Linked DNA regions of Stegostoma tigrinum. The protein of the gene in region 2 binds, or shares a complex with, the protein of the main gene of each other region. Links are inferred from orthologs where the notes say so. Each region holds a gene or a part of one and is shown on either strand. Other genes may lie near its edges.

Region 1 (7,751 bases), on a different chromosome or scaffold from region 2:
CAAATATCTCTCATACTGCAAAAGGGAGAATAGTAAAATGATAAAGTTTTAGTTATGTGTTTCTTGCTTAATTTTCTCAAATAAATATTACATCTAGTGACTGATTATTTCACCAAATTTCCTTTTATGTGATAAAATCAAAGAAGTCACTTGTGAAATGTTTGTTGACACGTTGACCACCATGTTCAGCGTACCTCAACAAATTATATCCAGCAACAATCTTCAGTATACTAATGTATCCTTCTAAGACTTCAAATCATAGGGTCATGCAACACGGAAACAGACCCTTCAGTCCAACTTGTATATGCCAACCATGTTTCCCAAACTAAAAGAGGACTACTTGCCTGTGTTTGGCCCATATCTCTCAAAATCTTTCCTATTCATGTACCTTTCCAAATGTCTTTTAAATGTTGTAACTGGACCTGCTGCTCCCACTTCCTCTGGCAGTCCATTCCACATACAAGCTGCCCTCTGTGTAAAAAAAGTTGCTTCTCATCTCCCCTTTAAATCTCTCTCCTCACACCTTAAAAATACCCTCTAGTTTTGAACACCCCTACTCTAGGAAAAAGACCATTGCTATTGACCTTATCTGTGCCCCTCATGATTTTATAAACCTTCATAAGGTCACCCCTCAACTTCCTGCACTCCACTGAAAAACAATCCTGCTTATCCAGCTCCCTTGTAACTCAAGCCCTCCAGTCACATGTGCAGGAAATGGGGTATTCAACTTATTACCTTTTCCCTTAACCAACGTCAATTGAAATGTTCTTGCAGAACACTGCATTGCCTTTAAAGTTGATAATAAATTAACTCTTGCATTGAAAATGTTACTCTAGATGTTTGAGTAGCTTTAGTGACATCACAATTTCATCATGACTGCAAAAATTGAAGAAGGGTAAGGAGTTGAGACATTGGCATTCTTATTCTGATGTCCTTTTATGAGAAATTGGAAACTTTATACTTCTGTTTAATTTGTGTGTTTTTTTTGAATTACGACATTTTAAAGAACAATATAGATGCATTCATATTTGCTCACGGAAAGTGGGTGTTGCTAGACAGGCCAAAATCTATTAACCATCCCTAACTGACCTCAACAAGTTGTTCTAGGGGTATCAGGCTACCCACAGTGCAGTTAGTAAGGGCATTACTAATTAAAAACTTTCTATCCCTTACATTTATTCAGTGTACTGGTGTCCACTGCACTTAAAGGTAGTGAATCCCACAGATTCCTGATCATTTGATACGGTGCCTCACGGGAGGCTGCTGAGCAAGGTGAGGGCCCATGGTGTTAGAGGTGAACTACTGGCTTGGATTGAGGATTGGCTGTCTGACAGAAGGCAGAGAGTTGGGATAAAAGGCTCTTTGTCGGAATGGCAACCGGTGATGAGTGGTGTCCCGAAGGGTTCAGTTTTGGGGCCGCAGCTGTTCACCTTATATATTAATGATCTGGATGAAGGGACTGGGGGCATTCTGGCGAAGTTGGCCGATGATACAAAGATAGTGGACAGGCAGGTAGTACTGAGGAGGTGGGGAAGCTGCAGAAAGATTTAGAATGTTTAGCAGAGTGGTCCACGAAATGGCTGATGAAATTCAATGTGAGTATATGTGAGGTTTTGCACTTTGGAAAAAAGAATATAGGCATGGACTATTTTCCAAATGGTGAGAAAATTCAGAAAGCAGAAGTACAAAGGGATCTGGGAGTGTTGGTCCAGGATTCTCTAAAGTTTAACTTGCAGGTAGAGTCCGTAATTAAGAAAGCAAATGTAATGTTGTCGTTTATCTCAAGAAGGCTGGAATATAAAAGCAGCAATGTGCTTCTGAGGCTTTATAAAGCTGTAGTTAGGCCCCATTTAGAATACTGTGTCTAATTTTGGGCCTCACACCTCAGGAAGGACATACTGGACCTGGAGCGTGTCCAGCGGTGATTCACACGGATGATTGCTGGAATGGTAGGTTTAACGTATGATGAATGGCTAAGGATCCTGGGATTGCACTCATTAAAGTTTAGAAGGTTGAGGGGAGATCTAATAGAAACTTACAAGATAATGTATGGTTTAGAAGGGGTGGACGCTCGGAAGTTGTTTCCGTTAGGCGGGGAGACTAGGGCCCGTGGGCACAGCCTTAAAATTAGAGGGGTAAATTTAAAACTGAAATGAGATGACATTTCTTTAGCCAGAGAGCGGTGGGCTTGTGGAATTCATTGCCACAGAGTGCAGTGGATGCCGGGACGTTGGATGCCTTCAAGGTGGAGATCAACAAATTCTTGATCTCAGAAGGAATCAAGGGCTACGGTGAGAGTGCAGGGAAGTGGAGTTGAAATGCCCATCAGAGATAGTGGGAACTGCAGATGCTGGAGAATTCCAAGATAATAAAATGTGAGGCTGGATGAACACAGCAGGCCAAGCAGCATCTCAGGAGCACAAAAGCTGACGTTTCGGGCCTAGACCCTTCATCAGAGAGGGGGATGGGGAGAGGGAACTGGAATAAATAGGGAGAGAGGGGGAGGCGGACCGAAGATGGAGAGTAAAGAAGATAGGTGGAGAGAGTGTAGGTGGGGAGGTAGGGAGGGGATAGGTCAGTCCAGGGAAGACGGACAGGTCAAGGAGGTGGGATGAGGTTAGTAGGTAGCTGGGGGTGCGGCTTGGGGTGGGAGGAAGGGATGGGTGAGAGGAAGAACCGGTTAGGGAGGCAGAGACAGGTTGGACTGGTTTTGGGATGCAGTGGGTGGGGGGGAAGAGCTGGGCTGGTTGTGTGGTGCAGTGGGGGGAGGGGACGAACTGGGCTGGTTTAGGGATGCAGTAGGGGAAGGGGAGATTTTGAAACTGGTGAAGTCCACATTGATACCATATGGCTGCAGGGTTCCCAGGCGGAATATGAGTTGCTGTTCCTGCAACCTTCGGGTGGCATCATTGTGGCACTGCAGGAGGCCCATGATGGACATGTCATCTAGAGAATGGGAGGGGGAGTGGAAATGGTTTGCGACTGGGAGGTGCAGTTGTTTGTTGCGAACTGAGCGGAGGTGTTCTGCAAAGCGGTCCCCAAGCCTCCGCTTGGTTTCCCCAATGTAGAGGAAGCCGCAACGGGTACAGTGGAAACGTCAGCTTTTGTGCTCCTGAGATGCTGCTTGGCCTGCTGTGTTCATCCAGCCTCACACTTTATTATCCTGAAATGCCCATCAGCCATGATTTAAATAACGGTGTGGACTTGATGGGCCGAATGGCCTTACTTCCACTCCTATGTCTTATGGTCTTATGGTTTATTTGCAAGACGTAATCTATAAGTCTATTTTAAACCTGTAACCTCTAAGCTTGAAAGCTTTTTCTTTGTAGGAACAGTTTGGGATTGTCCACAGGGCAATTTCAAATACCCACCTTAAAAAATGTTCTGCAGTCGCTTGCATTTATTTCAGAGAGAACACTGGAGATACTCAGCAGGTCTGGCAGCATCTGTGGAGAGAGAAATAGAGTTTTGAGTCTGTTATGACAACACAACATCAGATGCATCCTATGGACATCAGTGCGCAGTTCCTGCATGCATCCTAAGGAATATGACATATCAAAACATGGACCACTTTCTCAATGGTGCAACTTGTGCATTCAAAGCTATGAGCTATTATGGCACACATGAGCTGCATGGATTCTTTCATTCTTAGCCCACAACTGCACATAGCCTGAGAAAACTGTGACATGTACAGGAAAGCTGTTGCTGTTTCACAAGGTGGGAGCTCTTTTCCAATGACTACTGAAGGCTTGCAACAGGATTATATCTATATTCCCTCCTCTGAAGGGAACTGAGCAGAGCTGTCTTTTGCTTTTTTTAAAAAATATTATTTTGATTACAGCGGCATCAATTATAATAAAGTAAATATTTCATCTATCATTAATCAAATGTAAGTGACTATTTGATTTCTATTTCACAGTAAAGAATTTATGAGGTCGCTTTAATTTGGAATTATTACATTTGACCTCCAAACATTATCATTTATAAGTTTAGATTGTACATTTCAACTTAATTGGAACTTTTTTTGTATTCGGATATCTTGGACTAAAGCGAGTTGAATACAGTTGTATTAATTAAAACGTTTTCAGGCAAAGATACGGGCATTGAAGCATTGTGTTCTGCACCTCACGATAAAATAAGCACTGTTCCTCGTGAAATATGATAGCTCTGAGCTTTTGTTTGGCCGAGCCACTGAAATTAAAACGCATACAGGGACACTATTGGAATTAAGTCTGAGTGCATTTCCTACATCATTTCTCTATAAGGGAAGTAACTTTTTGCGTTAATATCGCTATAATTTTAAACTTTAATTCCGCAAAATGTAAATTTCTTTCAAGAATTTGCATTTTGTCAAATTGCATTTGTCAAGGAGCTAAGATAACGATGGTTTCAATATTATACTTCGCCAGTCTAAAAATGCGTTGATCATGCAAGATAATCAATTATGGAAAAGACTTCGGTACATGAGGTTTTACGTTTATATTCTGCGTTTGGAGATCCTTTAGTTTTTGTCTTCGAAATCTCCATGCTGACTGATTTAAATAGCAGATTATTTACCTCGGTTCAAGTGGCCTCATAACTCCTCTATAACAAAGTGTAGAGCTGGATGTAACTCCCATTTGCTAAAGCCTTTGATAGCACTTAATCTAGACAAATCGGAATACGCTAAGATATTTTGTGCGTAAGGAGGCTAATTTGTCTCGCCCCTTCTGATCTCATTTACAAACGAAAACTACATGAAGGCTGCTTCAGCAAGTCCGAGGAAGTGCCTTTTGTCTCTCCCCCACCATCCTTCGACGTGAGGCAGAGTTGAATAACCTAAAGTTACAATCGAGTCTTATTTCCATTTTGGTTTCATCCACTTAAAAGCTAGGTTATATGAGTAACCATTCATTCAAATTGAAGTGCGAATCAGAAGTCGTGCAGGCATAGTTCACTCTCTTGGCTTTAAGTTTGAGTACGAAGGGAGGTTCAGCCCATGCTGATTCTTGGAAAGCTAGCCGGTGATTGGGTGAAAAATGTAATAACATGCGGCGGTGGAGTGAGGAGACTGGTGGTGACAGACAGCACCGTATCATCACCTCGTTTTAGACGAGTGCAAGTGTAGATAAGTCCAGTTGATTTGATGTGTCCTAATGTGCAATTTTAGGTTACTTGTGCAATCTTTTTTATAATGCAATGCATACATACTTGCAATGATTGTGGAGCTGACCAAGATATTCAAATTCGTTTGTCGTCATCTCTGCTGGTAAGTAAGGAATGCTAAATAAATAATCAAGATAGAAAAATGTGAACGTTTAGAGAGGGGTTTGAATTTGTTTTTAAATCTGGATGGTATTATAGTTAGTAACATGATTGTGCAGCTTTGTTTTTATCTGGTAGACTAAAATTTGGACAGTTTTCATTTAAAAATTGAAGAGATTTCCATTTTCAGTCATCTATAAGCAGACCATTAAATGATTAATTCATTTCACTTGCTAACATGATTTAGCATATGCATCTATTACAATTTATGCCTTACCCCTTGGTTTTTATATGCAGGTCATTAAAGTATTTAATGAAGATGGCACTAGCCAGACATTGGAGGTACCAAATGACATCATAGCTCGTGATGTCTCTCAGTTGTTTCTCATGAGAAGTCACTGTGTCAGTGACAATACCTGGACACTCATCGAGCATCTTCCTCATCTTGACATGGGTAAATGTGAACATTATGCTTATGAATTTATCTACATGAAGCTGAATTTTTCATTTTTGCTTAGCTTTGTTGCTGTTGATTTTATTTAAAGCCATGTGTTTCAAAGAAATCTTTTTACTCCATATATGCAAGTTGTATGTGTTTTGCATGCATGTTCCGTTCTGTGGCTCATGGTTTATTGTATCATTCCTTTCTTCAACTTAGTCAATTGTGCAGTTGCACAGGCCCAATTTTAGTGCCTATCACAGTGCATATAGAAGCATCTCTTTGAAACAGTTAGCTCCAAATTAAATTGTCCAGTTGTCTGCAGGTAGTCAACTACTATTTTCATAGAGGCAGTCCCTAAGGTAATTTCCATGATAGCCTTTCAATGAGCTTCTAATGATGGTGAATTGGCTGACTGCTTCATATTCTGCAAGATTTTACTTTGACTTTCAACAAAATCTGGTGAGGTGCCAAGTTGAGAGTAGAAACGATCCTGTCGGTAACTCACTTGAAGGACTATGTTAAAATAACTTATGTATTTTGGCAAAATACCCTACTTGTCACTATCTTAATACTCTAAAAACTACCATTTTGATTCAAAAATGCTTCCGATTTGTTGATTAAAGCTAATACTTTCTGTGAAAGTTATCCACATTTTCTGCTGAGCATTGCTTCATTAATGGGATCCACTCCACTTGTATTTATTATTTTATTGCACTGTTGAGGAACTTCTGAAATCTCCATTCGTGCATGATTTCCCTTTTTAATGATAAAAAGTGTTGATTTGAAATTTTAGCTTTGCAGCTGACCTAGACTCAATGGCTTTATTTGGAGGTCACAGTTCCACATGTTCTCTCAACTTTGTGAGGACTTTGCACTTAAGCTGAGATGTAACACATCACGTTGAGCAGTATCAATGGAGTGAAACTGAACTAATGTATCAAATCAAAGCAAATCGAAGAAAGGTTTATGGAAGCTGGAAATCTGAAACAAAAACAATCCGCTGAAGAGATGCCTAACCTGAAGAAGTTACCCTCCTCCCTCCGGACCAACCTCAGGGAATCTCTCTCCCATTGCAACTCTCTTGTAATCTCTTCGGCCTTGAAACTGCTCGACCATGTCCTGAAGCAAACCAGGTACCACAGCCACATCACCTTCCTCAGCACCTGCCTACGGAACCGGATCATCCCCAAGGGACTACAGTCTACGTTTCAGTCTTCCCAATTTGGCCCCAACCGTGACCACCTCTACACCCAGAATATTAGACAGCCACACTGAACCTTGCCGCATCTTCACCATCCCCCCAGACCTCCCACTGACTGAGGACGAACGGTCAGTTCTTAGCAAGGGGCTCACCTTTGTCCCCCTACAACCACACATCAACGAATACCAGTCACGATTGGACATAGAGCAGTTTTTCCGCCGTCTTCGCCTCCATGCCTACTTCTTCAATCGGGAACCTAACCCTCCCTCCACCGACCCCTTCACCCGCTTCCAACACAAGTCCTCCTCCTGGACACCACCCCCAGGCCTCCTACCCTCCCTCGACCTCTTCATCTCTAACTGCCGTCGAGACATTAACCACCTCAACCTCTCCACCCCTCTCACCCACTCACCCACTGCATCCCAAAACCAGTCCAACCTGTCTCTGCCTCCCTAACCTGTTCTTCCTCTCACCCATCCCTTCCTCCCACCCCAAGCCGCACCCCCATCTACCTACTAACCTCATCCCACCTCCTTGACCTGTCCGTCTTCCCTGGACTGACCTATCCCCTCCCTACCTCCCCACCTATACTCTCTCCACCTATCTTCTTTTCTCTCCATCTTCGGTCCGCCTCCCCCTCTCTCCCTATTTATTCCAGAACCCTCACCCCATCCCCCTCTCTGATGAAGGGTCTAGGCCCGAAACGTCAGCTTTTGTGCTCCTGAGATGCTGCTTGGCCTGCTGTGTTCATCCAGCCTCACATTTTGTTGTCTTGGATTCTCCAGCATCTGCAGTTCCCGTTATCTCTGCTGAAGAGACTGTTGCAGCATCTGTGGAGAGAGAAGCTGAGTTAAATTGAGTTCT
Region 2 (7,957 bases):
AAAAAATGCTTCACAGTCTGTAAACCACAATTAGTGATGTCTAGTGGCCGTGAAAAGTACAATATTAATACAACTCCCTTTCTCCAGGACGAAACACGTAGTATCCAGAACTCCAGTGAAACAGCTCGTACACCTGAATTCTCACAGCAAATGGAATTTCTAATACAAAAAAAAATTTCAGGGCAAGTGCCGGTCAAACCAAACACATAATTCACAATATTTTTGAAACAAAACAATGGGGTTGAGGTGGAGGGTAAACTAAATAAAGCAGCAGCATTTAAAAGCTGGATTTCAAAGGAGTATCAACAAAAGTGTTCAATAAAATCTATTTGACACATTTTGCAGTTGTGAAAGTGACTCTTATTTACTAGCCAGCTTGCCTTGAACAGCAAAGAATCATCTCCTGGATGACAATGTATTCTCACCCGCTGCGGTCAGATCTGACTGTAATCTATACTTCCACAGGTGAAAGATCTTCGCCCACAATAACACTGTCGCCACATGATAAAAAGAACTCTTTAAAATGCACATTTCTGTCTATAATATTGGGATAACTTTAAATTCTATATTACAGCATTCTCTAAAATAATGGGGCACACTTCATAAGTGATATTTTCTCCCATGCTAGATATTTTAAAAAGATGAAACATTAGTAAGGGGTGGCAATAAATCACATCACAATGTGTTTTTTTAAAAAGTAGGAATGAAAGTCTTTCTTAAAGTCACAGACACAACTTTCACTAGAACCCAGTTTACAAAAACATTTTAATGATCCAACTTTTGACACAAAGAGCCACCATATAACCATGAATCAGTGAAATTCAACTTTATATTACATGGAATCTCAGGCTGTGCCTAATGCTTGAGGAATGCTCTCTTATCCATTTTCAATGCACTGACCGAACAAGTCAAATCTCCTTTTTATTACATGGGATTTTCACTGGTATTCCAGGGATTCAAACAACTTTTGAAAAGTGGATCAGTGATCATGTCCAGATTCATACACTTAGCCAAGAAATCAACATAATCACTAACGTTAGAATGAAATTGCGAGATAAAAAAACTCACACAATGACAGAAAATTCTGGAAAAGAGGTATTTTAATACCTGCAGTGTTTTATAACAAATCAGTATTTTCAAGGTTCCGATATGGAAAGCTCAGAGTTTTCACAAATTAATCTCATACTCTTTCCAAATCAAACCATCACAATCTGTCAACCTGCATATTAATCCCAATGAGGAGCTTCAACATTAATGTCTTTTGAAACGCACACAGACAATTAAAATTGATGTTTTCTCTCCTTAAATAACCTGCATCTGTCCTGCCTTCTCACCAATGTGTTTACTCTGACTGTAACATTCAAAAAAGATCTTCAGTTACAAATCCAAGCAAAATTGGGAAATCGGTTTGAATGTCAGAATGGTAAAAGAACAACTTCACATTGGAAGAAATGAGGTTTTTGTTTTAAAACTGAACATTAAAGAAAACAGGGCCTGTCCAGGCTTCATCCCCGACTCTCGATTTTAGCTGCAGCTACATTCGTGTGAGGTGTCGCCCCTACCCTCTCTAATCCAAACCCAGGCTTTGGGATGCACATTAGGCCGTAAACTACAGCAATCTGGGAGAAGAGGTTGACAGGACTAAATTTTCACACAAATTAGCAGAATTTTAGAAGGAAAAATGCACCCGCGTCAGAATAAATTATCTGTAAACCTTAATGACTGTGAAATTACAAAGCTTGATTTAGTTTGAAGGTTTTTAAACACTTACCTTTTGGTTCTGTTGGGCCAATATTGGCCAGGATGAAGAGGGTCACCATGGCTGGTATCAAAGTCTTCCTCCCCATCCTGGAACTGGAATTCTCCTGGTGCAGATCAAAATCAAAACCCACGGTCCCCACAAGCACACAGGCCTTGGATATAACTGAATAAAAACCAAAATAAAACTCAGGGATGTACAGCAAGCCTAATAAAAGTTGTTTTTGGGACAGCACTTCGAACTGGCAGCTTTTTTCAAAAGAAAGTAATCTCTCAAAGAATAACAACTATTTTAGGGACCCCTCCAAATGAAATTTTCTTGAATCGTCTCTGAACAAATATTAAATAAAGTGATCTTGACAGTTAAATTGGAACAAATTCTTCATTCTGTCTATGAGGGTGGGGGAATAATCTGTATTTTTTCAACCCGTGTCCACAAAATCTTTTTTGGCGAGATTGTTGGGGAGAACAAGGAAATAAAAAAAAACTCCCCTCTCCTTTATTTTGTTTCTGGTGGATTAATTTTTCCACAGCAGCAGAAGAAATCTTCCTCAATTGTCTTCTGCAAAATAAAAGCTCTGGAAATCACATTGGAGTTGTAAAGCTTGTAGCTTCACTGCAAAGTCCCCAGTGCAAGAAAGCCCTCATTTCCTTCTCTTTTATATCATATTCAAACTCCTTTCATATATTTATATTTCCTTTTAACTCGATGATATCACGGGAAGATGAAACTGTCCGCTTTCTTCCCCCACATTACCAGTCCTGAGGAGAGAGAATTAAAAATAAAATCCCTTCAGGAAACAATCTGTCGAGAAAACGACAAACATAAACCAAAATATCCTCCAAGACAATTTTCCTTGAGCCGATATCAACTTGATTTTCTTTGGCTTTCTGCCTAGGCTTCCTCTTCTTTTTTTTCCTCTATTGCAAAGTCGCCCAAAGAAAACATCAAAGAGATCACTAATTCACCATTGGAACAAAACAAAAAAAATGTTTAATAAATTATCAGAACACCAGGCGCCAAACTGCATAACAAAATCCTTCAAGGTATTTTCCCCTTTTGGCTTCAACACACTCCAAACTGATTTTCTTTTTTTCCCAATTATTTTTTTCCTCTTTCTCTTGTGTTTCTTCTTTGTAAAATAAATTGAAATGTAATTGTTCTTTTTTTGAGGGAGGGGAACTGGTGGACAAGCAACAAAATAAAAATACGATTTTGAGGAGCAGAGGAGCCTTGAACCTTAAACCACGCGCAAACTTCTTCTGGCTGTGTCGAGTAAACAAGCACCGCCAGCCCAGTGAGGAGAGGGAGGGGAGAGCAAGTGAGCCTCGACAGTCACAAAAATCTGAACCAGGAGTTTACAGTTTCATGGACTGGACTGTTAAAAACGGAGAGAGACAGAGAGAGAGCGAGAGAGCGAGAGAGAAATCTAAAATCTGGACTGTGGATGCGAGAAGATAAAAAAGAAAACAGGTTTTACAAGACACATTGTTTCGGAGACATTGAAAATGTGAGCGGAGCCACCTCAGATTGGATTGGACTGAAGGCAAAAGAACAATTCAGAGACGAGATAATATTTATTCGAAAAGGGCATTCTGAAATTTTACACAATGTAAGGTAGCACGATAGCAATGTTTGATGAGTATGTGTACTTTTATTTAATCCTGCATTTCAGCAGATGCATTAATGTTCTTTAATTCCCTTCAATTTTCTCCTTATCAGACCTCCAATTCCTTCATAAATTTGGGCCCACTCAAAACTTTCTGATCTGTATCCCAACTCGCACCAAGTCCTGTTTACCCATCACCCCAGTGGGTAGCGGCCTACATTGGCATCAACTTTGAAAATAATTAGATTTAAAATTCTCATCCTTTTTTTCAAAGTCCTCTATCACGGTCCCCTCCCTTTTTGTATAATCCATTTCTGTAACGAGGAAAGAAACTAACTTGCTGTCCTTGCTATTCTGGCCTACATGTGACTCCACATCCATAATAATATGGTTGACTGTTTTCTGCACTCTGAAATGGCTAGCAAGCCAATCAATTTAAGGGTAACTGATCCTGCCATCAATGCCCACATCCCAAGAATGGATAGTATCGCCTAGCCCCATGACGATCTTTGAGATATCTGATTTTGGAATCCTGACCTCTTACAAACCCCTTTTTCTGTTGCTCCACTATTAGGAACTGTGCTCAGTTGTTCAGGTATGAAGCCCTGAGATTTCTTCCTAAATCTCACTGTACCTCTATCACTCTCTCACCCCGTCTTTTAGATGAAATTGTTTGCTCATCTCTTTCATGCAGTCTGAAGTGCAGCACTTTGAGGTGTATTCATATGTCAAAGGTATCATTATTACTGAACATTGTAGACAAATTAGTGAATTTTTTTTATTCATTCACAGGATTCATTCAACATTTATTGACCGTTCCCTAATTGCCCAGAGGGCAAATCACCATGGGTCTGGAGACACAAGTCAGCCAGAACATGTAATGGGTATGAATGAACCATATGGACTTTCCGCCCCTGATAATTAACAATGCTTTCGCGGAGTCTGAATTCCAGATATTTATTGAATTCAAATTCCATCATCTCCCATGGCAGGATTCAAACCCGGATCTGAAGAGCATTAGATATAATAGGAACTGCAGATGCTGGAGAATCCAAGATAACAAGGTGTAGAGCTGGATGAACACAGCAGGCCAAGTAGCATCTTAGGAGCAGGAAAGCTGATGATTCCGGCCTAAACCCATCCCTGCCTCTTTAACTTGTCTGTCTCCTCTCCACCTATCATCTCCTCTATCCATCTTCGATCTGTCTCCCCATCTCTCCCTATTTACTTCGGAACCCTCTTCCTCTCCCCCATTTCTGTTGAAGGGTCCAGGCCTGAAACGTCAGCTTTTCTGCTCCTAAGATGCTGCTTGGCTTGCTGTGATCATCCAGCTCCACACCTTGTTATCTCTGAAGAACATTACCTGGGTTTCTGGATTTACAGTTCAGCAGCAATACCTCTAGGCTATCATCGCCCCTATCAATTAAAAAAGGAATTAGCTAAAAAAAACTTGAATATTTATAAGCACCTTTCGTGACCTCCTTCACCTCAATACATTTTACAGCCAATTAAGTACCTTTTGGGGTATCCTCAGCTTTGTCACTGTAGCCAATTTAAACTTGTTAATTGATCATATGCTCGTATATTGTGCAATGTATTCTCAAACTGGACTTTTTAAATGTTTTGGTATCTGAAAAAATATTTATTCATTCTGTGCTAAATTTTCACTTTTGAATAACGATATATTTTTGGCATTTTGCGTATCAAGTGTCAGCATTGAGCTATCAGCCAGGAATACCATTTGTTAAATACTCCACTCCAACAAAGTGCCTATTGCCCCAGCTGAAAAGAGTTCCCCCTATTGGATCTGTGTGGTATTTTTCAGATTTTACACCAGCCGAAGTGCCTTGAGGAAGGGTCACCAGACCCAAACGTTAATTCTGGTTTCTCTTCACAGATGCTGCCAAACCTGCTGAGCTTTTCCAGCTTCTGCTTTTGTTTATGATTTACAGCGTCCGCTGTACTTTTGGTTTTTATTCAGTGTATTAAAAACTCTATTGTTTCTGTCCTAATTCGCACCAAGTCCCATTCACCCAAGACCCATGTGCTCACAGAACTACATTGGCTCCCAATCACAAAATAGCATAATTTTAGAATTCTCCTTCATGTTTGCCAATTCCTCCATGTTCTTACCTCTCCCTTTCTCTGTAATCTCCTCCAGCACAAAGACCCACTGAGATATCGCCATACATCAAATTTTTATCTTTCGTGGATTAACAATTTTAATCGTTTCACCATGCATTCAGCTGTTTTGACTTTGAACATTTGACTATCCTGCATAACCCACCTCAGCTCCTCTATCTTTCTCTCCCCCATCCTCCTTTAAATAAAATACTTAAACCTTACTTCTTTGACCAAGCTTTTTGTCCCTGTCCTAATAGCTCTTTGTATGGCTCAGGGTCAAATTTTGTTTCCATATGCATCGGTGAAGTAGCTTGAGATTTTTTACCACATAGAGGCACTATAAAAGTGGAAGGTTTTGTTGCTAAATTCCCTCCCAGCAGCATGGTCATGGTTTGAGCCACATGAACTGTAACAGCTCAAGATGACAGCCCATCAATACCTACTCAAGAGCCATTGGCAACACAATGGCTCAGTGGTTAGCACTACTGCCTCACACTGCGAGAGACCTGGATTCAATCTCAGCCTTGGGTGATCATCTGTGTGGAGTTTTCTCTGGGATCTTCCCACAGAACAAAGATGTGCAGTTAGGTAGATTGGCTATTGCAAAATTGCCCGTAGTTTTGGGATGTTTAGGTGAGACGGATTATCCATGGGGCAATGCAGGTTTACAGGGATAGGGTAGGGGGTGGGACTGCATGGATGCTGTTCAAAATACTGTTGTTGATTGGCCTGCTTCTATGATTTAAGAATAGGTAATAAATACTGGCCGTGCCAGGGATGTCCCTGATTCCATAAGCAAATTTTGGGTGGGAAGGTGGCAAAAATGTAAATGTTGTAGAAATTACAAACTAAGGCCATTGACCTGGATGACTAGACATGACAAGACAGACTGTTTCATTTTTACCCGCTGTGACCAAGCCACTGTGGGTTCCCTGTCGCACCCTCACTATCAACCTTCCCATAAATGTTACAAGCAAGGGTCTGAATAGAAGTTACTTCTTCAGTAAGGCAGCCACAGTCAGTAAAACTCAGTCTGATGATGAGAGTCTCCGAAACCATGGTAAAATGATGTGAAAAATACAATTATGAAATACAATCAGAGATAATGGGAACTGCAGATGCTGGAGATTCCAAGATAATAAAATGTGAGGCTGGATGAACACAGCAGGCCAAGCAGCATCTCAGGAACCTCCACAGCCTGCAACCCCAGAGGAGACAGCCACCCTGAGCCCTGCCGAATCTTCACCATCCCCCCAGACCTCCCACTGACTGAGGACGAACGGTCAGTCCTGAGCAAGGGGCTCACCTTTGTCCCCCTACAACCACACATCAACGAATACCAGTCACGGTCGGACACAGAGCAGTTTTTCCGCCGTCTTCGCCTGCATGCCTACTTCTTCAACCGGGAACCCAACCCTCCTTCCACTGACCCCTTCACCCGCTTCCAACACAAGTCCTCCTCCTGGACACCACCCCCAGGCCTCCTACCCTCCCTCGACCTCTTCATCTCCAACTGCCGTCGAGACATTAACCGCCTCAACCTCTCCACCCCTCTCACCCACTCAAAACCAGTCCAACCTGTCTCTGCCTCCCTAACCGGTTCTTCCTCTCACCCATCCCTTCCTCCCACCCCAAGCCGCACCCCCAGCTACCTACTAACCTCATCCCACCTCCTTGACCTGTCCGTCTTCCCTGGACTGACCTATCCCCTCCCTACCTCCCCACCCACACCTTCTCCACCTATCTTCTTTACTCTCCATCTTCGGTCCGCCTCCCCCTCTCTCCCTATTTATTCCAGTTCCCTCCCCCCATCCCCCTCTCTGATGAAGGGTCTAGGCCCGAAACGTCAGCTTTTGTGCTCCTGAGATGCTGCTTGGCCTGCTGTGTTCATCCAGCCTCACATTTTATTATATTATGAAATACAAACTTGCTGGAATTAGCTCATTAACATTCTGTAATTAGGTAGCACTTCTATGACAGGACATGACTGTAATATTTTGATTAATTTAAAGGCGCACATTTTTGCGGGAATTAATCTTTAATCATCTGGTAGCAAATGTTTCCAGGCTAAACATCATTTGACTCCCAATAAGGCAAATATGTGTACGCACCCTTCTTAGCGCCAAAATATTAAACAAGTGTTTTACTCTGCTTTTACAGACAGTGCTTAGACAGTGCTTCACCAGCACACACATGCATGCTCTGCAGCGTGCTTCAACTTGTTTCTTCTTCAAGCTAACCCAATGAATCCATGCTTAGTGGGCTGCAGAACTACAGAGAAAAAGAAGGTTGCAGGTTCTATACAAACCTTTTCAATCTTATCCAGTGTTTGCAGCAAGAGCTTTCCAATTATCTTAGCATTCCAAGCCAGCTGGAAAGAAGAAGGAAACAATCGGGCAATGATAACAAAGTGTGAAGCTGGATGAACACAGCAGGCCAAGCAGCATCTCAGGAGCACAAAAGCT

The links. Proteins that work in one complex are often made in the same cells at the same time.
Region 1: the proteins of insulin receptor-like (region 2) and growth factor receptor-bound protein 14-like are in contact, whole or in part, in a crystal structure (PDB 2AUH), measured with the Homo sapiens proteins. The link is inferred for Stegostoma tigrinum from reciprocal best matches to the Homo sapiens genes INSR and GRB14. Residues at the interface, in NP_000199.2 of Homo sapiens: Leu1065, Arg1066, Ile1069, Glu1070, Lys1112, Arg1116, Arg1163, Met1180, Arg1182, Tyr1190, Lys1192, Gly1193, Gly1194, Lys1195, Gly1196, Leu1197, Leu1198, Pro1199, Val1200, Trp1202, Ser1207, Leu1208, Lys1209, Asp1210, Gly1211, Gln1235, Asn1242, Glu1243, Leu1246; in NP_004481.2 of Homo sapiens: Glu373, Asn374, Ser375, Leu376, Val377, Ala378, Met379, Asp380, Phe381, Ser382, Ser386, Val388, Ile389, Glu394, Val398, Ala399, Glu401, Glu402, Gly403, Leu404, Trp406, Arg407.

What each region holds. Positions count from the first base shown.
Region 1 is NC_081360.1:62,660,945-62,668,695, reverse strand, and holds the start of growth factor receptor-bound protein 14-like, read left to right. Parts: upstream 1-4,658; 5' UTR 4,659-5,173; coding exon 5,174-5,248; intron 5,249-5,541; coding exon 5,542-5,698; intron 5,699-7,751. UniProt on the Homo sapiens protein: Adapter protein which modulates coupling of cell surface receptor kinases with specific signaling pathways. Binds to, and suppresses signals from, the activated insulin receptor (INSR). Potent inhibitor of insulin-stimulated MAPK3 phosphorylation.
Region 2 is NC_081383.1:6,991,490-6,999,446, forward strand, and holds the start of insulin receptor-like, read right to left. Parts: upstream 3,019-7,957; 5' UTR 1,848-3,018; coding exon 1,772-1,847; intron 1-1,771. UniProt on the Homo sapiens protein: Receptor tyrosine kinase which mediates the pleiotropic actions of insulin.